Yarrowia lipolytica: one gene and its partners. The main gene of each other region encodes a partner of the protein of the gene in region 3 in a complex. Links are inferred from orthologs where the notes say so. Each region holds a gene or a part of one and is shown on either strand. Other genes may lie near its edges. The genes, in order: YALI1_A21565g, YALI1_C23548g, YALI1_D15744g and YALI1_E28130g.

Region 1 (6,002 bases), on a different chromosome or scaffold from region 3:
GATGTCTCATCGTAATCTGCACCCAGAATCGTCTCAACTATGATAGACAGTAAGGCCGCTGTACGCTTAAATCGCAAATGCGCAGAAACAACCACATCCACATCGCTTCCTGGAATAGTGATGGGACTCTCCGCTGCCGTCAGAAAGTAATGCCAGATAGCCAGCTTGTCCAAAGCCTGTTGAGATGACAGCTTTTCCATTTCCAAAGCAATCTCTTGGTTGCGTGTAGATGCCACTGAGGATTGGAGTTTCTGGTTCATCTCCATGACTGTCTTTACATGCGACACCATGGACTCGTTGTCGTGCTGTTTTTCACGGTGTTTTGTCTCCCACAATTCAATCTCGGCTTGCAAGTCTGCTACAACCTCTCGAAATCTCATGACGCTCTGTTCAAGGTTCTGTTGGCGATTATGTGCATCGTTGGTTCGTTTCTCGGCGTGATTCAGCTCAGATTCCAGATAGGCGATTTCCTGGTGAAGTTGCTTCTGTGTGGCTACGTGACCTGCCTCTAACTCATCATTCAGCTCCTTAAGCTCCTCCAGCTCGGCCACTGTAGCCTGCAGCTTCTCCACTGACTCTGTAAGAGCCAGGTTTTTCTCCGTCAGAGAATCGATCAGCGTCTCGGACACCATGACATCATCCAGCTGGGCTCTCAGTTCATGTAGGGTAGCCTGGGTTTCCTCAAGCCGCTTCTCAGAGCTTTCCAGCTGCGATTGAGTCAATGAATAGTCTGTAAGTTTGGAGTTCAGTTGCTTGATCTGTTCATTGAGAGATGCCTCCTGAGCCGTAGAGTAGTCTCGTAGACTCACAAGAGCCGCTTCAAGCTGGGCGTTTCGTTGAATGGCAGCCTCATCAGCTGAGTCGATTCTCTCCGAAGGCACGTTGAGCTCTTGTCGCAGTTCCTCCATTTCTCGTTTGGCAATCTCCAGCTTTTCTTCTGCCATTTCTCTGTCAAGAGTAGCCATCTCCAAAGCGTCTTCGTGCTGTTCCAGCTTCACCTTGGCATGGGCATGTTCATTGGAAGTCTTGGTGAGATCGGCGCGTAGCTGCTTGACCTCGTCACTCAGGGGACGCAGTTTACTCTCCAGCTTGGCGACAATTGTCTCGAGTTTCTTTTTTTCACGCAAATCTGTCTGAAGTTGCTGAATTTGTTCTCGCTCAAGCTTTCTTTTGCTATCTGTGACACGTAGCTTGGCCTTGAGACTCTCCACCTGCTTGGCCAAAGCTGTAGACGAGTCTGAGACGTCTGACATGGCCGACTGGGGTCGTTGAGACGGTCTAGGCACCTCTGGAGGCGGCATGAGGTCTGCGTCTGTCTCCACTTGTGGTCGTCTCACAAACTTTCCCGATGTTCCTTTGCATTCAAAGTACCGAACTCCCTGGACGCTGCCGTCATTGTTTCCCTGTCCCTCAACCATTTCCACTCCAATCCACTCTCCCGTGGAGAACTGAGTGGGTCCGATGAATCGGACGTGCGCCGGCACTCCCTTGACCCGCACGCGATCTCCGACTTTCATGTGTGCAAGTATCGTACAGTAGCAGTGGTGCTCGTGATGTGTCGCAGTGTCGTGGAGGTAGATATTCGGACTGCATGCCGACGGTAAATGAAATATCCTAAATTTGTTAGTTAGTTAGTTAGCATAGTTAAGTACTTCTGGTAGCTATAACACCCTATAAAATAACGGCCCGACACGTGATTTTGGCGTACTAAATTCTATGTAGTTTTCTCGCCCATATCAACTTCCAAATCGACTCTTCAGGACCTCACTTTTGCTACTTGTAGATATGATTATTCTGCATTCGCCATCTATAAACAAATCCCATCCACCAACCTACATTACAATACATGTATGCGTAGACAATGCACAACGAGTTTAGGCTAAAACGCGTCTCGTTTATTCCCACAACCTATCACCACAGTACAAACACAACCCCCACAATCACCATAATGCAGTCGGCACGACGAAAACAGACGGCGTTCCCCTCTCGGGGCGTGGCTGCCACCAAGCGAGAATTATCTGCGGATCAACGACAAGAGATCCAGGAGGCCTTCGACCTGTTCGATGCCCATCAGAACCGAGCTCTGGACTTTCATACCCTCAGAGCAGCCATGCGAGCACTCGGCTTCGAGCTCAAGAAGGCTGAGGTGCTGCAGATTCTGGACGAGAACGACACGACACAGCAGGGCGTGATGACGTGGGAGGCGTTTGAGCAGGTTATGACACAGATGATTCTGGACCGAGACCCGCTGGAGGAGGTCAAGCGGGCCTTCCAGCTGTTTGACGAGGACAACACCGGTATTATCACTATCAAAAACCTGCGAAAGGTGGCCCGAGAACTCAACGAAAATATCGACGAGAGTGAACTGCAGGCCATGATTGAGGAGTTTGACCTTGACCAGGATGGAGGAAGTGAGTATGAGTGAAAGAGAGCTGATGGAGCATCACAAAGAAGAAGTCTACTAACACAGTCAATCTCGAGGAATTCATCGCCATTTGTACCGAAAACTAGCTTATTTAATCTAATGTATTTTTATCATCCACAGCTGGTGGAATTGTGTGGATGTACATGTGTTTAACGTATTAATTAAGTCTAATGCCATATACCGTATTTGAAGCATCCTTTATGTCTATTGCTGATCTTTATGATCGACCTACAAGTACTGTAGAAGTAGTTTGGTGGTATCCTTGGTTTTTGTCAGTCTTCTTACATAAGCAAACATGACAAGTCCCAGTGATATCTTCGGTGACATAAATAGAGTTTGGGAGAGGTAAAAAGTGCACGTGACGTCAAATTTTCGACGGCAACGATGACCACAAAATCAAGACTCCAGAGTGTATGAAAATCCGTAAATCAATGTGAAATAACCCGCTCTATATTTCCCACCTACTTCCTTTTTCTCAGCTCTCTCTGTGCGCCAATGAAATCGATCTGATGTTCATTTCTCTCGAACCCTCCCAACAGGGCAAGGGCCTGAAATTTTCATTTTCATCAGAACTCATACAAACCACCACCCTCACACAATGAGACCTACGCGGACGGTACTGAAATCGAGGTTCATCCACGACCCCAAGACCATCTACCCTCGGGTCCGTGTGGATCGGATCCAGCGGGCCACTCTCAAAAAGGCCCCCAAGTTCCAGCAGGTTCTGGCCAGCCATGCCGTTCCCGAGTGGGAGCGATTCACCAAGGAGAGCCAATGGCACTTTATGCCCGGCGACAAGGTCCAGATCCTGGCTGGCCCCGACAAGGGCAAGGTGTCTCAGATCATGGCTCGACACGAGGAGGGAAACTCTTACCTGGTTGATGGAGTCAACGGTACTCAGACCTTCCCAATTCCTCCTGCTATGGCCCAGGAAGGACAGACCACCCACGTGATCGAGTTCCCCAACCCTCTGAAGCAGTCGGAGCTGCGTCTGGTGGCCCAGCGACCTGAGGAGGACGGTACCACCACCGAGGTTGCTATTGCTGCCGTGGAGTGCGTGGGAACCTACTACGACCCTGCCTACAAGCGAGTGCTCCCCCGACGAGTCATGGCCCACGATCACAAGACCCAGGTGCCATGGCCCGCTCCTCTCGAGCCTGTCGAGCATGTGGAGGGCTCTACCGAGCGAGATGTGGCTCGAGAACGAACCCACTGGGTCACTTCTCTGGTCAAGCCTCCTTTCCCCATCGGAGCTCTGCCCGACATTCGAAACGTGCACCACAAGCGATTCAAGCGATTCTCCGAGCGAGAGGTCGATCTCCTCACAGCCCCCAAGCCCTTCATCCCCAAGGGCACCCCCGAGCTTTTCGCTCGACCCCAGCACAAGAAGCCTGAGAACAAGCTCACTGCTGAGATGGAGGCCTTCATTGGCAACGTCATGCAGAAGCACGCTGACGCCCAGGTGGGCCAGCATGACCGAGTCAAGGGCCTCAAGTATAAATAGTGTATATAGTAGCATGATAGCAATTTTCTGACTTGAAGAGCGTATGTAGGCCGTGAGTACGCTCTAGACCTGATGGCCTGACGTCGTCAAGTAACCTCGTTGTCGCGGACCGCGAGACCACGAAACCACGAAACCACGAGTTCTCCGGACCTATTTATCGTAATGAAATAGAGACATCTTGATCGTAGGCTTTTTTATGATCTCTGGACTACAAATCGCCCGCGGCCGTGTAGTCTAGTAAAGGAAGGATACTTGTATCGAAAAAGCGTACAGTAACAAGTTACTACTTGTAGTGGGTGCATAGTAGGTAAACCAGTCTAAAGTGTGTCTTCATAGGTGTCTCTTCGTCAACCCTTCGATGCACTCGAGAATGAAGTACAAGTAGTACAGAACTTGTAGAGTGATGAGCTCATGCACATGCCTTGTCTCGAGTATGAGGGTGTAAGCAGTGGTCTATCTGATAGTGGAGCAAGTAGAATGACTAAATTCTCAGATATCGTTTATCTCTAATCCATCTTACTAAATTCCAAGTCCGGCCAAATCTTCCTACTTTTTTCACGTACTTTTCATTATTGTATAGTAGTTACTCCTCAACTACCATCGGGAATTCCAACTATAAGAAGTGGACTACGACCACGCCCTCCAGACTCCATCCCTCACCTCTCAACTTCAAAACTGCTTATGTAAGAGGCTACCCAACAGCCCAGCAAAGAAATATGAGCTTAGACACTCATAAGTCTTCGTCTTGGACCTCTGTCTAACTCATTAGTAGTCAAAGCCTCTGTCTCAGAAACAATAACAGCCGTAGACTTGCTAACTACAGCACATTCTATATGAGTAACGTGCTTGTAACGTATTGGTAAATACTTGTAGAAAATGAACTACCGCCCAAACATGTTGTCCCCTCAGACTTTCACGTAATACGGTCTCGCGTCGCCCGGTCTGACCCTTACCTTCCCAGTCTGAAGTCAACCTCAAACTGCCCAATTTGCGAGTAGCTAATCTTGAACAGGGCGATCTACATCACCAGGTTGCCATAATATGTAATTCATATAGAATTCGCAACTGTCGAGCGAGTCTGAAGGTGGGCGGCTAAAATCATGGCTATGTTGCCAAGAGGTCTCACAAAACCAAAATTAACAAGTCCTGGCGTGCAACCACATTTGAATCTCTCTCTACTTGTAGGCTTGAAAACCATACAAGCGCTGCTTGCCGAAACCACCATCGCCACATAGTAGAGACAAACCCGTGGGCTGTTAAATTACCACCGCCTCGACACGTCGCGGTTGCGCTTGTAGCGCCCTTGACGTCTTACTCCTACAAGCACCTACGGTAATTACACGTCTCAATCCGTCTGTTTTCGGACAGACTCCAGGCTGTGTTTGGAAAGACAGATGCCAAAAAAAGTTTGCCCGTCAAAACCTTTGCCTGACCCACATGGTAACACTAAATTGAAGCAGGCCACTGAGATAAAGGAAGTGAGTAGAGTAGCAGTACTCGCAGCAAGAATGAGAACCTGGTTCATATGTTTTTGATTACTAAGTGGTACCAGGTGATTAGCTCTGTTTCATGTGCCCGTTCTGACCCCACTGATGACTAGCTACTGTCTCCCATGCACCAACTCTTTGTTTGCTCAAAATGAAACGTTCCATGCACAGGACACGGCTACCCGCCTAGAATGTGTAAGGAGAAAACCTTCTGGCCTCTGGGGAAGTTTTCTGGGAGCTTGACAGTGGTCAAGTGAGGAATAGAAAATATTATTTTGAGTGGATTGTGGTTTAGATATAATCTCGAATACTTTCCGAGCTGTCCACAATTCTCTCTGTTTTAATCCACCCATTGCTTCGTGTCTTATCAGCCAAAGTATCTCAACGTTAGTCTTCCCCACGTGTGCAACCCTGTGCCAAAAGGTCGTAAAATGTATAGGAGCCACTAACGAAAAAGTGCATGCTCCAAGTAGATTGACAATAGTGCAAAAACAACATGTCTTCAGAAACTCTCCTCCTTCCCCAATGGTGATTTGCACGCCCTATTACAACCGACAGACCATCAAGGTGGGCCTTCGGGCGGTCC
Region 2 (5,869 bases), on a different chromosome or scaffold from region 3:
TATGGCACTATAATTGACGGAAAATTGGCCGCGAGTTGAGATGGAGCACCGTTGTGGAATCTGTTGCGCCAATCTCTGGAAGCGAAAAGGGCGATTACGTAATATAGGAAGGGGAAACTTGCTCAATGCCCGGAAACGTTACCCGCTCCCAGTCACCCTTGCTGCCCTCAAATGTCTCCACTTTGTCCCTATAAATTTTCCCGTGGGCTCTCCCATCCAACTTTCACCTCTCCACACCACATAACCACACAACCACATACTCGCACAACACTCACAACATGTCCGACCTTCCTTCCAGTTTCGATAACGGTAACAGCATTGAGTGAGTAAGAAATAAAGTGGGGATTTTCGGGGGGGATTCGGGGGTATTTATATTGAGGGTGGCGAATTACGCAAATTACACCGGGCGTGTGACGCAACTTTGAACCAGGCGGTAAAACGACAAAACCAGGAAGAATGGGCAGCGACACACAGACGGAGAGATACATGGAGGTGGGAAAAACGATACGAACGGGTCCGACTTGTCAAATTGGCCACTGTTGCGAAGGAGAATATTCAATGGCAATATCTTGCTACAAGGGGTGAACAGTGAAGAGCAATGTTTGGGTAGTTATCCTACAGCGAGACCCATAGCGGTCTTATCTTATGATTCGGTCTTGGGTGTTGGCCTGTGTCATTTGATATCGTCAAGCTCTTTTTCGAATGGAGTCCTGGTCATTGAACCAACCGCAAGTACCGTGCTTCGGTGATAGGATGAGACCACTCCAAACGATAGGGACTTCTCCGACGTCAGAAAAAAAACACCCAGCAGCTCACGATACCTTCTTAAGCCGCGGTGGTCTTTGACAGTTGACTCAGCCTTTCTCCTTCTACCTCGCTACCAAAACCTGTACCTGCTCTATTCTCGCTGACTGGGCTGTCAAGCAGCTCTCATCATATTGCAGCCAAGCACCCTCCCCAGCCCCTCTATTTGAGCGTTGCACGACCTTCTCGACTGAGAATTCTATGGTGTGATGCTTTCCATTGACTCACTTCATTGTACTAACCCAGCGAAAACGAAAAGTCTCCCGGATACTACAAGATTCTCGAGCGATGCAAGGAGCAGCCCCTTGTCCCCCTTGGCTGTCTTGCTACCTGTGGAGCTCTGATCCTCTCTGCGCGAGCCCTGCGAGTGGGTAACAAGCGCCAGGCCAACCGAATGTTCTTTGCTCGAGTGGCGTTCCAGGGTCTGACTGTGGCCGCCCTTATTGGAGGAGCTATGTACTACGGCCAGGACCCCAAGCAGAAGCTGGAGCAAAAGGAGCGTGAAAAGATGCTTGCTCGACACCGAGAGAAGCTGTGGATCGAGGAGCTCGAGCGACGAGACCTGGAGGTCCAGGAGCGACGAAAGCGAGCTGCTGCTTTCCGTCAGCAGGAGGAGGAGAAGTAGAGGGCGTGATTATTGCATAGCAATTGCACCCCGGCCAGAAACATGTTTCACTGGCGAGAATTTCCTAGTGTGTCCTTCCAGGGAAACATTTCTGAGTCGCACAGTATCGCATGCAAGTAAGCGGTACCAGAGTTTAGTTTTGTGTATATAGTTAACGTCATGATTGAGGCGCGTGGAGTGTAGCGACGCGGTTGTACTATAGAGCGGTTCTTGATACGAATGTGCACTCCATTGCGAGAATACTCTCAGTTCCGTTCCTTCTAAGAGCTGTACCACTCTACAGATCTGCGGGTAACACCGATAACAGAAGGACTTGCGCCGTGGTTACTACTGCAATCTTCTATGCCTCCGTTTGCACTCGTTATGATGTGTGACCAGGAGCTGACTTGTCTCTATACGAATCCTGTGCATAACGGGCTGTTCGTACGAGGCTTGGAGTCATTTCGTCATTGAGAAGCAACTCCATGACCCTCACCGCTGTCCTAGGTCTCCAGCCCCTCACCAGTGCCCTAGGTCTCCAGCTGCCTCATTCAAACTCCCGCACTGGTGTCTCACTCTCAATCAATCAATCATACCTTTTGCTATGTACATTTTATCCTAGTGGTGGGACCATCTGTGGGGTTGTGTAACGTCCTGTTGTGTTGGTGTCCACCACTACTTCTTCACCTCGGCCTTCCACTCAGACTGCCAGATTTTGTTGGGGGGAGTCTCGGTAGGCACTCGCATTTCGATGGGGAACTTGTTGCCCTTGACTCGCAGCACGGCGGCGTTGAACAGGAATCCGTCCACCTTTCGCAGTTCCTCGCACGTGTCTTGCAGCATCTCATACTGCTGTCTGTGTTGCTGCTCTCGGGCCAGCTTTTCGGCCAGCCGCTCCTCTCGCCACGCCACCTGCACGATTCGGTGTCGAATCAGATCCTCCTGGCTGAGCTCGAGCTTCTTGGGAGCCATTCGCTTGGGCGACATGGCCGACATCTGGTTCACGAGCTTTCGCGCTCCAGGGTCCAGATCGTTGGCCGTCTTGGTTCGCTTGGTTCGCAGGGCCAGCTGGGGCACCCGCCGAGCCACACAGGTCGTTCGCACGGTTCCAAACATTGTGGTCTTGTGTGTGGTGTGGTGTGGTGTTGCACAGATCAGGTATTTTTTCAGCTGGCAGAAGGGGACATGCAGCGGCCGTAAGTTCGATTTGCACCTGGCAACTTTTAAAATTGAAATTGAAGTTGTTGGGGGTTCGATTCCGAGGGAGGTCGTTCCAGGAAAAGAGATACAGCAACAGTCACTCCGCGATTCTTCCTCAATACAAACATGAATTCTGACATTCAAACAGCCTGTACCTGTCCCCGTACTAATACAGTACAGTATGTACTAGACATTACTAGGTTGTGATTGGTAAGCAGAGCTTGCTGTCGCTCACTCGTACTCGTATAATACAATAAATAATCTACTTTTTTCTAGTAATAAATATCGAGCTGGGTTTCTGTCGCCGAGGCGGAGGAGAAGCTCTGGTTAGTGGTGGTACAGATGGCGGGGGAGGCGCTTGCGCGGGTGGCAGAGGCGGGGAAACGTGCCGATTGATTGGGGGAGGAGATTGTGGTGGAGTGGTCGAAGTGACGACTGGCGCAGTCTCGGGTCCAGGCCCACGCCTGAAAATACCCATATCTGTCCGCTGCACCTTGGTAGGCGAGGCGCTGCCGCTCGAGTGTCCAATGGCGTTTGTTTTGGGCATGGGAGTGGGCCGTTTGAGAGGTCGCTTCAAGGATGTGGTGCTCATGGCTTCAACAGGAACCGGAATGGACGAAATGCGGTGGTCCGAATTGAAGCCTCCATTGACACGGACGGTATCACGACCCGCAGAGGGCTGGGGGTCACGTGTAGGGTCACGTGGTTGGTTTCTGTTTGTGCGGTCGAAAAACGACTTGCGGTTCGTTTCCAGAAATGTGGGGTTGCTGGGGGAAAACATGCTGCCCTTGGAACGCATTTCCAGTCGCAATCGACCCACAACAGACGACTTTGCTCGCTGAATGTATTGTCGTCGCTGAGAAGACTCAGCCCGCGGGTCCACGTCCAACTGGGTGATCATGATTTCCGACTTGCGTTGTTGTTCACGTGCAATGTTTCGTTTGAGCCGATTACTGCTCTCGCGCAAACGAGTCTCCTTTTCCTCCTGGTAGCGCAGGTATGTTTCCTTGAAGTTCTTTTTTGGTAATGGGCGGTCAGAAAAGTCGCGACCGATGAAGTGCTTCCATACTGGTTCCGAGTCGCGTGCAATATGTGGAGAGATGGACTCAATGTGGAGCATTTGGCGGCACTTGAACTTGCGGAGAATGGGCTCCACCAAGTGGTAGGGCGTATCGCCGATATCTTGGATTTCTGAGTTAGTAACCGTGATGAGTGTGGTCGGAGGTACGGGGTAACGAGTGGACAACACCCTACAGGGTGTTAGGAGGTTGGAAAGAGCCCATGGAGCAGTTCTGGCCGTGGCATAGTTCAGAGGCGCCAAGGGTAACAGTCTGAGGTGCTGTCTATCGAAGCATACCGACATTTGAGCTGAATCCCGGTCATTTTTCCGCTTATTGTTGCAGCTCAGACACACTGACAGCGAGATTAGTTGAGAACATGGCTTGGTTTGAAGCAACTAGTTCTGAACACCCTGGCCGGTGGCACAGAGACAACCTCAGAACCTGTCTTCACAGCCAGAGCCAGTCACAGGACCAAGAACGGAGGTCGGTTCAACTCAGTCTGTGTCACAAGGATGACACAAATGAGCATATAATGGCCAAGAGCGTCGACAGACACACAAAATGACACGGCGTCATGCTCGCGAGACTCAGTCTCGGCCTCCACGTTTCCATTCTCTTCTCACCTAGCAAAGGTTAACCAAATCGTCCCTGACTCCTGAATGACGTGTCCATAACCTGTGTTCAAATCAGGAGTCCCCAAGGGGTCTTGCTGAACGCTCTGACCTGCTTTACACGCACAACCTCGAGCTCCCGTTTGTGTCTTTTCCGATTGTGTACTCACGATGACTGTGCCTCTGGCATGTTTTGCGGGCCAACTCGACCAGGGAGGGGACTCCCTTGGATGATCGAGCTTCCAGCTCCGATAACGACAGCATGAGAAGGTGTTTACAGCCTCGGGCAAGTGATTGGCGAGATATAGAGGATTTCAAGTCGTTTCGGGCTGGTACCTAGCTGTGGTCAGCCAGATATAAATATGCACTATAGAGTTTGCACGTGACGCAATCAAAACATGGTGGCGGATGAGTGGCGATATTGGTGGCCGACGGAGAGGATTTGGAAGAGGGGGAAATGTTACTAAGAAGTCTTGAGAATATGAGTTTGTTTTTGTTTTTGTTTTTGTTTGTTTTTTCTGATTCTTGCAGATTTTTTCTGATTCTTGCAGATTTTTTCTGATTTTTTTTTTTTTTTTTGCTATTCTCGCCTTTTTCTCATAAAGTCACCCATGATGAGTACAAGTAAATGCTCCATTTAGGGGGAAAAAGGGGAAATATATATATTTAAAAGAAATTAAAAAAATTAAAAAATTATTGTGGACTTTAGATGGATTTTAGGTGAATTTAGGTGAATTTAGGTGAATTTAGGGGAATTTAGGTGAATTTAGGTGATTTTAGGGGAATTTAGGTGATTTTAGGGGAATTTAGGTGAATTTAGGTGGATTTTAGATAAATTTTAGGTGAATATAGGAGGATTATGAGTGAACTTTAGATGGAATAGATATTTATTCCAGGAAATTCAGAAAAAAGAAATAGTTGAGAATAATTGAAAGAAATTGAAGATAAAAAGTAGCAATGGGGTTAGATATCTTTGCATGGACCAATATAATCCATAGAACCCTTTTACGGGTCCGTATAAGCCGTGTATTAAAGCTCAAGCTATTTCAATCAGCGATATCTTGAAGTACAGCCAGTTCAAGTGCAACTTTCAGTTCTTGAGTCATACGAGAGTCGTATATCTATTAATCCTTGCTAAGATTGATTTTATCTTCTATATTGTGTTTTTTGTCCTATCGTGTCACGCTTTGTAGGACTGGAACATGTTCACAACTCCAGATCTGGAAGATAGCTTCTTTGCGTTTTTGCCATTATCATATTGCAAATCTCAAAAAGTCTGTCTCTTTGTTCAAGGAAGACCTTACTGTACGTCTGGAAAGCTGACAGTTCCACAAATGAAGGTCCCATATCCGGTCTCAAGTAGTTAATGTTACTTTGATATTAGTATCTACCTGGAATTCCTAGTGATGAGATCTATAATGCATCTTCATCATTGGAACCCACTAAACGTATACAATGTCTACTCGACAGGAGCCAACACAAGTCTCCCGATATCTCCTCTGGCCGATCGTATTCAAGTCGGGTGAAACAGACCCCATATCCTCTCTACGCTATTCCCAGTCCCTACTGCAAAAGAGTTGCTCTACGTC
Region 3 (6,319 bases):
ATGGGTCGTCTCAGGAACGCCTACAGCCGGATTGACGCGTCTAGACACAACGACTCTGTTCGACCACAAGTCCGATCTTCAGAAACTGGGCCGAATAATGGGTGAGTTTCTCAAGATTGAACCGTGGAGTTCGAGCCCTAGCTCGTGGCAGCAGTCGGTCGTGAAGCCTCTTCTAGCTGGTCGGTACGACGGCTTTGAGCACGCTGTCAGGGTCTTGTCTGGAGTTCTAGTGCGTCATCAGATTGAAGACGTGGAGCAAAGCACAAGGCTACCGCCCCTCTACAATGACGTGGTCTTTTTGAATCCCTCATTCTACGACCGAATTATCGCGAACCTCTATGTCTCCAATATCTGTCTGCTCAACTTGGTTGATGAAAAGAAGTTCGGTTTGAAAAATCTTCTCCGTCGACTCAGAGGAGCCTTCGTGGTCTCCACCAATTATGAGACTCGAGATATCCAATTCTTTCTCGATGAGCTGAGTGCTTACATCTACGAAAACCGGGTGGCTCTCACTGGCCCCGATAATGAAAATGATGCTCGGCTTATCAAGAAGATCTTTTCGGCCTTGAACTACGCGGCAACTTCTGGCAACTGGCTCCAGATTGCCGGAACACAAGAGATGCCCTTCTTTGTGGAAGATGAGACTCGCACATCGCGTGCCTTCCAGATGGCTAATCCCCTTATCGTTCGAGACAAGCGTGAGTACGGAATTATTGGAGGTGCACCGCTGACATATCTACAAAGGGCCGCCAGTGAGGATGAAAAGCTGGATCTGTGGACGGAAACGAAATCCAAAGATGGCACACCTTTGGAGGGTGTTATTAAAGAGCTGTCTGATGATCCCTTGTTCTCAAGCAGATTCTGGACATCCTACAACAGAAATGTTGACAATAAGAGAGAGCGGAAAGACAAGAAGAATCCAGCCGTCAAGAATTTTCATCATGCAAAGCAGAAAATATCTCCCGAAGAATATCTTGAAAGCGTGGGTTTGAAGGTAGAGTCTGCTCCTACAGGAGCGCCTCAAAATCACCATTCGCAATTGGAGGCGGATTATCCAGTGAGTGACAAACCCACAATTGTCGGAACTGGCTCGTCCAAGTTGTCTTACCTGGTGTCCAAGACTCTTGTTCTTGTTAAAGATCACAAGATCATTGTTTTTTACGAAGACGTGGACTCAGCCGTCGCTGTTGCTGAGGCCTTTGAAGCAGTAGGGATCAAGCACCTCATTTACACGACAGACAAGGTTTCAAAGGAGAGACGCGCCCAGTATCTCGCCACGTTTGAAGCGACGGACAACTTCCAGGTACTTCTCATGAACATCAACGCTGCTGCGCATGGTCTCAACATCACCTCTGCCTCGTGGGTATTCTTTCTTTCTCCCGTGTGGAGACGAGACATCGAAGCTCAGGCTATCAAGCGAGCTCACCGTATTGGTCAAAAGTCGGAGGTGCACGTAGAGACCCTCGTACTCCAAGATACTCTGGAGGAAGATATTTATCGACGTCGAACGGAGATCTCAGATGCTAATGACGAAACCCCAAAGGAAATGGTTGACGACGACCAGCTGCGAGAAACGCTTCTCAACTACGCTTTAACATCCATGGAGAATCTTCACAAAGGAACGACAGACGAAGTCGCGTTCTTTGACAAGCCTGTCCCGCTGTATATCAAGGTCGATAAACACGACCAGTTTGAGAACTCTCTGGTTCACTTCGAGGGTCTGCCGGTGAGAAAGAAGAGGAAGAAGACTGTGGTTGCTGATGGATTTGCATCTTCCAAGAGGAGTAAGGGAAACTTGGTTAAAAAAGAAACTACTGCAAATAGATAGCATTTTTAATACTACAGAAGTCGAAGTAAGCGTATAACATTCAATCATTTAAATCATGTCTATTTAGATGGGCTCGCTAAGGACGTGGTTGAGTCGAGCAATCTTGGAGGCGACAGAGACGTCAACGGTTCGCTCAGCAACCTCGACAATGAGACCACCGAGGATATCGGGGTTAACCTTGAGGTTGAGCTTGAGCTCACCCTCACCAACGAAAGAAGAGCCAGCAATGGCGGCCTGGATTCGGTTGACGGTCTTCTTGTCGAGCTCGGAGGCAGAGGTGACGGTGGCCTCAACGAGACCCTTGGATGCGTTGACGAGAGTCTCGAACTTCTCAATGATACCGGGGATGAGAGCCAGTCGGTTGTTGTCGGAGATGACGGTCAGGAAGTTGGTGAGAGTCTTGTCTCCACCAACGGCCTGGGACAGGACGTTGACGACAGTCTGCTTGTCCTCGTGAGAGAGGGTGGGGTTAGAGACAATCTGGGCAACCTCGGGCTGCTGAGCGAACACGTCCCGCAGCTTGGCGAGAGAGCCCTCAGTCTTGGAGAGGTCAGACTCCTTGGCGGCGGCGGTGTACTGAGTTAGTAAATAGCAATAGAGATTGGAAGTGTTATCTGGAGTTGGCGTGTTGGGAATTGACGTCGAGCCTTGGAAGAATGTACGAAGTTGGCATGGGAAGAGGGATTGCGCATGTCGTCTTGTTACTCCATAGAGTGTGTGTTACCCCAACATTGAGCAATTAACCTACAGTGACGAGGTTACACGAGGTTACACGCAACAAAAAGGTTGACAAAACACGATATCGAGCTCTGAGAGCTGCTCAATTCGTCGTTAAATCAGCCAGCTGCATGTTGCCTCCCATTGATCCTTCCTCTCCTCCTCTCCCTTCCTGCATTATGTTGAGTAGTGTTGTGCTGGCCTCTACTACAGTACCACCATGATTGCATCCATCCACGTGTCAAGGGTATCATTCCAGTCGAATTGCATCTGCAACACGACCCATCAGGCCAATTCAGTTCTTGTCAATTCCTCGCTGTCGTCGTTTCCAATTGCACCGTTTCCTCCGGGAAAACCGTCCCCTCCATCCTTCCAAAAAACACAATTATACCCACCAGAGCAGTAGCGTAAGTACCGTCGAGGCCGAAGAGCTGGACGGGGACCTTGACAGGGGCGGCGGCCTTGGTGGCCATGGTTCGGGCCATGGGCCGCATGGACATCATTCGAATGGCTCGGGAAGCGAACATCTTGAGGTGTGGTGTTGTGTCTGAGCTGAACTGTGTCGATATGTACACGGGGGAGGAAAACGGGGCGCACCATTTTTCGGTTTGAGCCAATGGGCGTGCACGCTGGGTGGTAGCGTATTTCTGGGCACGCCTCCACACTATAGAGCCCGTACTTGTGGTACCGGTTGGGAGGAATCGTAAGCGGTAAATCAGGGTTGGGGTAGTGCAGGTGCGAAATTTCAAATCATATCACCGTGAACAAGGTGCCAAAAGCGAAAATACTAAACCTCCGTACCGTCGCCCCAACCTCGACAAAATGAACCGACTCGTCTCTCGACACCTGTCGGCCCGAATTGGACGTATCGGAGCGATCCAGCCGGCCATCTCGCTGGCTCCCTTGCGGGCCTTTTCGACCTTTCCCAGACTGCGACAGGAGCAGCAGCCCCCCGTGGCTGAGGACTCGTTTATCGACGAGGAGATCAAGGGCGCCACTCCCAAGCGTCAGCGGGTCCGACCCACTCGAATGAAGCCGTTTGTGGACTCGGAGGCCGCCATGTTTGCCCGAAACACCAGTGTCAGCGACATCACCTTGGTGCCCGAAACGGTCGATCTGACTGCTCTGGAAAAGCAGGATATCTACATGAAGAGCCAGCGCAAGATCACCAAGGCCGCCGTCAAGTTCAAGACCATGACTCCCATCTCGCCCTCCATGCGATGGTACAAGGCTGCCATCTACCCTTACCTGTGGAAGGGCAAGCCCCACCGGGCTCTGACTGTGGCCCGAAAGGCCCGAAACGGTCGGTGTAGCAACACTGGCCGAGTCGTGACTCGACACCAGGGTGGAGGACACCGACGACGAGTGCGGCTCATTGATTTCTTCCGACAGGAGACTGGAGAGTGCGAGGTTGTGCGGATCGAGCGAGACCCCAACCGAAGCGGCCACATTGCGCTCCTCAAGAACAAGGAGTCCGGCAACTTTTCCTACATCACTGCTCCCGAGGGTACTCGAGCCGGTGACACGGTGCAGTCGTTCCTCAACGGCATCCCCCAGAACATCATTGACGAGTTCCACGGCCAGACCGACCCCGCCATGTTGGCCTACCGACTGTGTCGAAAGGGCAACTGTCTGCCCATGTGGATGATCCCCGTGGGTACCGTCATCCACGCCATTTCCACCGAGCCCCACGGCAAGGCCAAGTTCTGCCGAGCTGCCGGAACCTACGGACGTCTCATTGGAAAGGAGCCCGCCAAGAACAAGGCCATCGTGCGAATGCAGAGTGGCGAAGAGCGATACGTGCATCTCAAGGCCTCGGCCACCATCGGTGTGGTGTCTGCTCCTGACCATCAGAACGAGTCGTTCGGAAAGGCCGGCAGATCGCGATGGAGAGGTATCCGACCCACCGTGCGAGGTGTAGCCATGAACGCCTGCGACCATCCCCACGGAGGTGGACGAGGAAAGTCCAAGGGTAACGTGACGTCGCGATCCATCTGGGGCGTGCTGGCCAAGCGATACAAGACCCGACGAGGCAAGCACCAGAACCCCAACAAGCTCAAGGATCGACCTCGATACAAGGAGCAGCGAAAGTAATGTATATAGTATAAGTGAACGGGACCGTATTGAACGAACGAACGAAAACGACTGACTCAAAAGAGTGACCAAAGTATGTACTGGTATGATCAGCTGCCATGGAACTGCAATATATATTGTTGAACCATCTATGTATGTTAACACAATCCATACATCAAGACAGAGGTATAATGTAGACAAAGCAGAGACACGGAACAGAGGGCTTCGTGCAAGTATGATACAACTACTTGTGCTGCACTCGTACCAGTATGGCGGTGGTGTAAGTGGTTGTTAATGTTGCACGTATCCAATCATGCTGAGCGAGCCCTGGAACGAAGAACGCTGCATCTAGTTACTTAGTTAAGATTGTTTGGTTGGTAATAGTTGGAGATAATTCATGCTGATGGTATACATTTCAGGGTTGCTGGCATGTTAGCAAGAAACAAATAGTATCATTACATACAGAATATACAAGATCTGAACAAATAAACGACAATATTTTGCTTTGTAATACTGTTATGCCTCAGTATTCCAGTTTGCAAGATGTGAGTTAGGTTTCGTTGGTTGACGCGTTGTTGGTGAATACTTATACCTTAACTATTAGTCAAGACACATCCTGCAAGTAGTCAGCCTTGAGCCGCGAATATGCCTACTACAGGATCAGAAAAGGCACATACAAGGCACACAAGACGCAATTCAGATACAGTATTCAAGGTGTCTGTCCATAGATATGTCTAGTCTTTATACTATATACGATACTCGTACTTCATGGACCAAACCCAAGCTGGCCCACTGTGTTCCCCTTTAAAAGTCTACATTCACCCAAAAACCCTAGCCCACTCAATAAAACCAATATATATTATAATACTTGAGAAGAACACTTCTCTTTTTTGAACCGAGCGTCGAGTTCATTTGAACCTCTCTTTTTCCTTTAGTGAGACTCATTCCAAGAGTTGGAAGTGGCAGCTTCAGGATGAGCCTCAGCAGGAGCACCTGGAGGAACAGAACCAGGGGCGCCTGCAGCAGTGCCAGCAGCAGCGCCAGCAGCAGCACCCCCTTCACCGTTCATCATCAGATATTGGTACCAGTCGCCAATATTGAGCGATTGAGGGGCGTATCCAAATCCACTGGCCGCGGTGGGCTCGTCCTCGGGCGACGACTTGTAGGTGCCGCCTTCGGTGTGGCTGGCTCCGTCGGCGTGGGCAAACATGTCCGGAGGAAGCGCGCTGGTGGCGGGCTCCTGGAGCTGCGACTGCAGGTTAGACATATCGCCAGTCACGTCGGGGAAAAGCTGCATGGGCTGGAACGACTCAAAGAAGGTGTTCGAAGCCGGCGGGGTGTTAGTGACAAAGTAAAAGTCCGGATGCGGGGTGCCGGGCTTGGATGGCAGCGTGCCGTTGAAAGGGGTGCCGGGATTTGTAGGAGGCTGTCTATCGCCCAGGTACTCCTCTCCTTCCTGCTGCGATTGCTGCTGCTGGTCAAACGCATGATTGTTGAACTTGCGTTCTGGCTGTGGCTGATGCGTCTGTTGTTGCTGTTGTGTGTGTTGCTGTTGTTGTTGCTGCTGCTGCTGCTGTTGCTGTCGAGCATGCTGCTGCTGTTGTTGTTGTTGCTGGGCATGTCGTTGCTGTTGGGCATGGTGCTGTTGGGCGCCATGTGGTGGTTGTGAAGCCTGGTGCTGAGCTTGAGGCATTTGCTGCT
Region 4 (6,214 bases), on a different chromosome or scaffold from region 3:
TTGATCCAGATGAGCACTCCGGCTCCAACCAGTCGGTCCTCGTTGAGAATCGCTTGCAGCTCTTTGCGGCAATCGTGGAGTCGGTCGGTGGCACTGGCGTCTACCACCCAGATCATGAAGTCCGTCTTCTCAAAGTAGTTTCTCCAGAAAGGTCGCAGAGTCTTTTGGCCGCCAATGTCCCAGATGTTGAGCTTGTACTGGCCCCTTGTCACCGTGCGGATGTTGAAGCCCAGCGTCGGAGACACCTCGTTCACGTCCTCGTTGAGAATCTTCTTGACTATCGTCGTCTTGCCCGAGTTGTCCAGACCACTGTGTTAGTACTGTTCCCTCTCACACCCAGACACGTCGCTTCCTCTCACTCACAGCATGAGCACACGGATCTCCTTATCCTTGAGCTTTTGTTTCTTGATGATCGTGAGTAGCCCCATTTGTCATGTCGCCAGGAAGAGGAGTTGTGGTGGAGCACATGACAACTGCACAGGAGAGGTTGGTGACAAGTGAAGAGATCAAATTGGGCGATTGAGTCGAAGGACTATGGTTGGAGTGTTAGATGCGCCAAAGGAGGGTGGTAAAGCGATGAGTAGAAAGAAGAAGAAAAAAGAGGGGGAAAAAAAAAACAGGGGAAACACACCCCTTGCCGCGACGCACTTGCCGCACTCCCACTCTCTCTAAGTAGAACATCAACATAACAAGTCAAAGTAACACATAACAGCACATGAACGCCATCTAAACCACCCGTTCCTGGTACCAAAATGATCCTCTGTATCTGAGGAATCCATTTCTTTTATTCTTTAGTCGCCTGTGAGAATAATGGGCAAGTTACAGTCGAATCTATATTACGCTTACAAAGTACTGGATGAACCGCAGAGTGTGTGAACATGTATCACAATATCTCTTCTGTCTACCAAATTCGCCAATCTCCTTTCCCCAATCGACAAAACCTCAATATCAGCCAACCTCAATATCCAACTCACCCCGCTATATAATGTATCATATTAAGGTTTATGCATACTGCACCAAGCATGCATACGCGGTCTCAATATATACCTCATCTCATATATAATTACGGCATATCGACCCAGCTATGACGGGATGGATATATTTGCACCAGGCGTTGCGGCTGCTTACGCCGTATCCGCAGGCCGTTCTCAACAACAAACGGTCGTCGGTGGCTGGCTTTTCGCTCGACTACGGACTCTGGGCGTTCGTGGGGGCGGTGTGTCATTTCGTCTTCACCCTCACATACATCAACAGCGATCTGGTCCATCGGCAGTTTGTGCAGAGATACCCGTTAGCGTTTGATATGCCCAGCGCGTCCGGGGTGATTGCCCTAATTGACTTGAACGAGTCATTGGTGTGGGGCGTGTGTGCTGTGCAGGCGTGGTATTCATACAGACACACCCAGACCAATGCGCAGTCGTGGTCTCTGGAATGCAAGGTGATTATGGGTCTTTTTTTCGGCGTGCTTGTGTTCCTGCTGATGGCGGTCAAGTCCCATCCCTTTGCAAAGGTGCCCTCGCCTCCTGGAGTCGGCTATCTGGGTATCAAGTTCATTGACGTGGTGGACTGGCTTGGAATCATCGGAGACTTCAGCGTCTACGCCCGTTACGTGCCGCAGGTGTCGTGCAACTGGACGGTGCAGAGCTGTGTGGGCTCGTCGTTTTTGCTCATTGTGCTGGATCTGGCGGGCGCGTTTTTCGGGATTCTCGACGTTCTGGGCGCCAAAAAGGCCAAGCCCACCAAGGAGAGAAACCGAAACAAAGTCGTGCGGGCCGTGCGTCCCTCGGGTCTCTTTTGGGCATGCTGGTTCCGCTTTTTCTGGGATCTCGTTCTGCTCTACCAGCAGGTGAAATACAAGGGATGTCGTCCTCTGGTCAAGAGGAAGTACGTGAAGCCCGTGGACGTGGAAGTGATGGGAGAAGAAGACGACAGCGATGAGGGCCATCGACTGTTGCGTTCGGGCGAGGTGGAACTGAGAGACATGGCGTGACCGTGAGGATAGAAAATCGTGATACACTGCATTTACATATTTAATGATTATGACATGAGAGGGTAGAGAGAGTGGACACTGCAAATCTCAAAGAGCACTGTAGTCGTTGTATTCGGACCCACGCCAGACACACTTGTCAACTAAACATTCAAGTAAAGTATCAGCTTGAAATCACATAACTGTGTCGAATGGGCGAGTTTGTAACAGAAATATCATGTCAATAGTATATATCGGAGACTGTGTGACACTGCTCTACAGTTTTATACGCTTTTTTCTCTACGAAAGCAACTGGAGCACCAGACAGAAACCCATCACAACTTCTTCTTTCAACTAAAAGTCAACTAAAAAAGACCATGCTATATGTCTCGGTTGCGGGCTTCCAGACACCATGAGAGAGATACAAGTGTCAAGAGCGAAGAATCTGAGACAGCTGTTTCGGTTGTGTCTTCTCACGTGATCTTACATTGCTTACTAATCCAGTACCAATAATAACCACTCTGTTGGCTGTGTATACTAAATCATGTCAATATATCCGAGTATATATAGAGAGGAGGTGTCTACTGAAACAAGTAATGATAGTAGAGATATTCAAAAGACAGAATTAATACATACGTAGACCCCAGGATAACCAAAAACCGTGCTCTTCATCAACATATTAACAATTCTAAAAGTGCATACAAGAATGAACACAACCTGGAATCGAACCCACGGGACCCGACACCACTCTCCAGACTACTGCATGGGTTGAAGAAAGGATGGGGATTGAAGAATGAGGTGATTATTGGTGTTGTTCGACCGACTTATGTGTAAACGAGGACAAGATTCCTTCCTACAACCACTTATATCGCTCCTAACTCCGATTCGGCTCCGACAGTATACTCTTGTCTCACGGTTGTTGCAGTTTCTCCCGTTTAGGTTGACTCTCTGTTAACCCGTACCCTGAAAAATCTATCTCCAGTTGACGCATCACCATACGAGCCCTCACTGACCGTATAACAGCACACACAACCATGCTGTGGAAGAAGATGTTTGGCAAAAGCGTGGCGCCGGCCTCCCGGCTGGTTGCCCTGCGGCCGTTCCACTCTACCGCCGCGCGATCCAACGACTGGTTCGGCAGCATGACAGAAAACAAGGAGTCCATCAAGCAGGATCTGGACAAGGCGACGGCAAACAAGAGATCCAAGGAGGTCGAGCAGAACGCCGACGAGACCAAGGGCAAGCTGCCATCGTTCAAAAACGACACCAAGCTGCAGGAGTACATTGCCGAGCAAAAGGGCGAGGCGGAGGTGGGTATTGCAAAGTACGGCACCGCCCTCAAGCAGCGGCTGTGGGACGCCTACCAGAGCCAGCACAAGGGCTACGACAAGACCAAAAAGGTGTCTGTCGACGGCCGGGAGTACCAGATGGTGCTGTCGCCCAACGAGATCAAGGCGTTCGAGCCCTCTGTCTACTGCAAGTCGTACCGAATCGACGGCACCTGGAAGAAGGCCCAGCTGCTGCTGCGAATGCTGCGTAAGATGAACGTGCGTGAGGCCATCACTCAGTGCCAGTTTTCTGCCAAGCGAATGGGCCGACCCGTTGCTGAGCTGCTCCAGCGAGGAGTCAGCGCCGCCAAGGACATGAACATTGACCCCGAGACTCTGTACATTGACGAGATCTGGGTCGGCTCGGACCCCCGAAAGTTCCGGTTCGTGGACCCGAAGGGCCGAGGACGAGCCGGCATGAAACACGCCGAGTACATCCACATCCGGGCTATTCTGCGAACCCCCGTGACCCAGCAGCGAGAGGCCCGTGACAAGGAGTACAAGCGCCTGGCCAAGAAGCCCGTGTTCCAGCACGAGACCCGAAAGGTGGGAGATGGGTACCTCAAGTCTGACTACCGATGGTAATGTATATAGCTAGGGCGAGTGACGAGCATAGCGCGTTGCTCGAACGAAATGAACAAAATGAGTAACCGATGAGCGAATAGCGTGCGAAACGAGTTGTTAGTTCTTAACGAGTAAGCCACCGAAGAATGAGTAACAGAAGTAGCAGCAACGGGGTAGCAGCTGGAACATATCAGGTGACGAGATCGCTTCCATGAAACAGGTGAAGATGATCTAAGAGCTCAGAGGAACGAGTACTGTATGTACCAGTTGATATGTAAATGACGAAGGGCTGTGCTTAGACAGTAGAATACACTAATCATCTGTCGAACATAATCTCGGAGAAGAGGTGTTGGTCATACGTCTGCACTTGCACCTACTTGTCAGGACATTTATATGAATGGAACAGTGTGATCTGGAGTTCTGACTATTAACATCTAGAAGTACGAGTATATATGTACTGTTCCAAGATACACCTTCCGAACGACTCCAACTTGTCGGGTGGTCGTTGGTACTCCATCATGAAGTGTTGCGGCAGGTTGGGCTACAGTCCAATTGTACCGACCATCTTCCTCCAAGTGCCGTCCCTCGGTCTGTGCAACTTATAAGTCTAATGAATTCATGCTATTTACTCGTCATCGAAGCCAGTGAGCTGCTCTCGAGCACGCTGGGGGACTCGGTTAGTATAGTAAAAATGGGGTGCAGTGGAGGCTGACGGTATGAGCCGATGACCGCAGGGCCTGCGACTCAGACCGTAGAAGCTCAGTAGTCTGGTCAGTTGATCTAGTCGACTGCAGTCTGATTCGGTTGATTGAGGTAGTCATGGTGGCTTGGGATCAGCTCGTCCAGTTACCAGACAGACCAATCACAGAACAATCACAGAAAATCACAGACAATCACAGACAATCCACAGACAATCCACAGACAATCACAAGACAAATCACAGACAATCACAAACATCACAGACCAATCACAGACTATCACAGACCATCAGACAGACTGGCAGTTTTGTCAACCACCGACGTCCATTGCAACGCAACAACTCTTAATAATACTCACGAGGATATGATTGGGGAAGGGGGCTGTGATCGGGGTAAAGGTACTTTCTTCGTAGAGGAGTCAGTGTGAGCGCGGCGACAGGGCCGGCGATTCCAATGGCGAAGGCGAAGAAGAGATGGGGTCGGTTATGAGCAGACCATCGAAGGTACTGGGTTGTGTTAGTGGGGCTCAGACGGAGTCAGTCTCTACATAGTCTGCAGACATCTCGGTGACGTGGCACAAACGAAAGACCCGAGAGTGAATCAGCTGTTCATTCCATTCATATGGTCGTTCCATTCATACGGTCATTCGTTCCACCCACCACGTCTCTTTGGTGTTGGGGTCACCTTGTGTCGATTGACATAGCCATTTCTGGGTGTGTTTACGGCCAGGCCGCGGCGTTTTGTGCTCTCGAAACCCGCTGCGCGATACTCACTCGAAAGGGGCCGTTCCAGAAGCCGGGGTTAGCGTTGATCATTGTCGAGTGTCCGTTTGTGTCTCGTTTCCCTGATATTGGATTTTGGGCGACAAATGCACAGTGGTGGTTTTGGCTTTTAGTTACCCTCGTCGTGATTGGCCCGTGGGCTGGATCTGCTTAGTAAGCTGGGAGGAAAAATTCAGGTGAATTTACGGGAATTGAATGGTTAAATAGGAGGAATAAATGGGGAAATACGAAGCGAATTAATGAGCAGGGAGACAGAGAAAAGTCCTCAATAAAAATAAAAAACAAGAAAAATAGTAAAATAAGATAAAACAAATAAAAATATAAATATAAACAAATAAATAAAATAAACACCTACCAAACTCCCTACCGCCTCAACATCACATGACGTCCAAGTCACATGTCCACATGTGGGGTAAGTTTCAAGATGAGCACAACTTGTAGCCCGAAAAGTAGACGATTTGTACAAGTAGATATATCCCGAAAACATCTAATCATTCTCTAACTGATTAGTAAACATAGACACCAACAACTACCCTACAGGCACCCACCGTACACAACGAGTTCCCTCTTCTCATATATCGTACATTGTATATACAATCACACTGTAATTACGAGTCTAAGATGCAACAGTCAGTTCAGTGTGGTCCTCGTCCCCTTGTGCGCCACAAAAGAGTCTGAAGCTGGTCCAACTTCCCCTCCCCGGCCCGATTGACTCTCACGTGACCTCTTTTTCTGCTTTATGCTCCTCTTTTCCAACACTTGCACGTGTCGGTCCTGTCTTAGTTGCACTGTGTGGTCTCTCTCTGTGCCTGTTTGACTCTGGCTGATAAGCTAAGCTGCATAGTGTCCACGGTCGCATCTCTCAAGCCGGTCTAA

Evidence for each region.
Region 1: YALI1_D15744g (region 3) and YALI1_A21565g share a complex: the UniProt entries of both Saccharomyces cerevisiae proteins name them as parts of the mitochondrial large ribosomal subunit. The link is inferred for Yarrowia lipolytica from reciprocal best matches to the Saccharomyces cerevisiae genes RML2 and MRPL40.
Region 2: YALI1_D15744g (region 3) and YALI1_C23548g share a complex: the UniProt entries of both Saccharomyces cerevisiae proteins name them as parts of the mitochondrial large ribosomal subunit. The link is inferred for Yarrowia lipolytica from reciprocal best matches to the Saccharomyces cerevisiae genes RML2 and MRPL28.
Region 4: YALI1_D15744g (region 3) and YALI1_E28130g share a complex: the UniProt entries of both Saccharomyces cerevisiae proteins name them as parts of the mitochondrial large ribosomal subunit. The link is inferred for Yarrowia lipolytica from reciprocal best matches to the Saccharomyces cerevisiae genes RML2 and MRPL22.

Annotation. Positions count from the first base shown.
Region 1 is NC_090770.1:2,153,481-2,159,482, forward strand, and holds YALI1_A21565g (mitochondrial 54S ribosomal protein uL24m), read left to right. Parts: upstream 1-3,023; coding exon 3,024-3,929; downstream 3,930-6,002. Other genes in the region: YALI1_A21550g (uncharacterized protein), read right to left, coding at 1-1,517; YALI1_A21554g (uncharacterized protein), read left to right, coding at 1,862-2,411, 2,471-2,511; YALI1_A21594g (uncharacterized protein), read left to right, coding at 5,942-6,002. UniProt on the Saccharomyces cerevisiae protein: Component of the mitochondrial ribosome (mitoribosome), a dedicated translation machinery responsible for the synthesis of mitochondrial genome-encoded proteins, including at least some of the essential transmembrane subunits of the mitochondrial respiratory chain.
Region 2 is NC_090772.1:2,352,331-2,358,199, forward strand, and holds YALI1_C23548g (mitochondrial 54S ribosomal protein mL40), read right to left. Parts: upstream 2,525-5,869; coding exon 2,084-2,524; downstream 1-2,083. Other genes in the region: YALI1_C23526g (uncharacterized protein), read left to right, coding at 279-322, 1,051-1,429; YALI1_C23563g (uncharacterized protein), read right to left, coding at 2,871-3,971. UniProt on the Saccharomyces cerevisiae protein: Component of the mitochondrial ribosome (mitoribosome), a dedicated translation machinery responsible for the synthesis of mitochondrial genome-encoded proteins, including at least some of the essential transmembrane subunits of the mitochondrial respiratory chain.
Region 3 is NC_090773.1:1,571,094-1,577,412, forward strand, and holds YALI1_D15744g (mitochondrial 54S ribosomal protein uL2m), read left to right. Parts: upstream 1-3,367; coding exon 3,368-4,639; downstream 4,640-6,319. Other genes in the region: YALI1_D15696g (uncharacterized protein), read left to right, coding at 1-1,828; YALI1_D15734g (uncharacterized protein), read right to left, coding at 1,892-2,404, 2,941-3,072; YALI1_D15792g (uncharacterized protein), read right to left, coding at 5,550-6,319. UniProt on the Saccharomyces cerevisiae protein: Component of the mitochondrial ribosome (mitoribosome), a dedicated translation machinery responsible for the synthesis of mitochondrial genome-encoded proteins, including at least some of the essential transmembrane subunits of the mitochondrial respiratory chain.
Region 4 is NC_090774.1:2,809,853-2,816,066, reverse strand, and holds YALI1_E28130g (mitochondrial 54S ribosomal protein uL22m), read left to right. Parts: upstream 1-3,000; coding exon 3,001-3,879; downstream 3,880-6,214. Other genes in the region: YALI1_E28156g (uncharacterized protein), read right to left, coding at 1-309, 364-428; YALI1_E28150g (uncharacterized protein), read left to right, coding at 1,085-1,990; YALI1_E28107g (uncharacterized protein), read right to left, coding at 4,484-4,530, 4,915-5,062, 5,330-5,371. UniProt on the Saccharomyces cerevisiae protein: Component of the mitochondrial ribosome (mitoribosome), a dedicated translation machinery responsible for the synthesis of mitochondrial genome-encoded proteins, including at least some of the essential transmembrane subunits of the mitochondrial respiratory chain.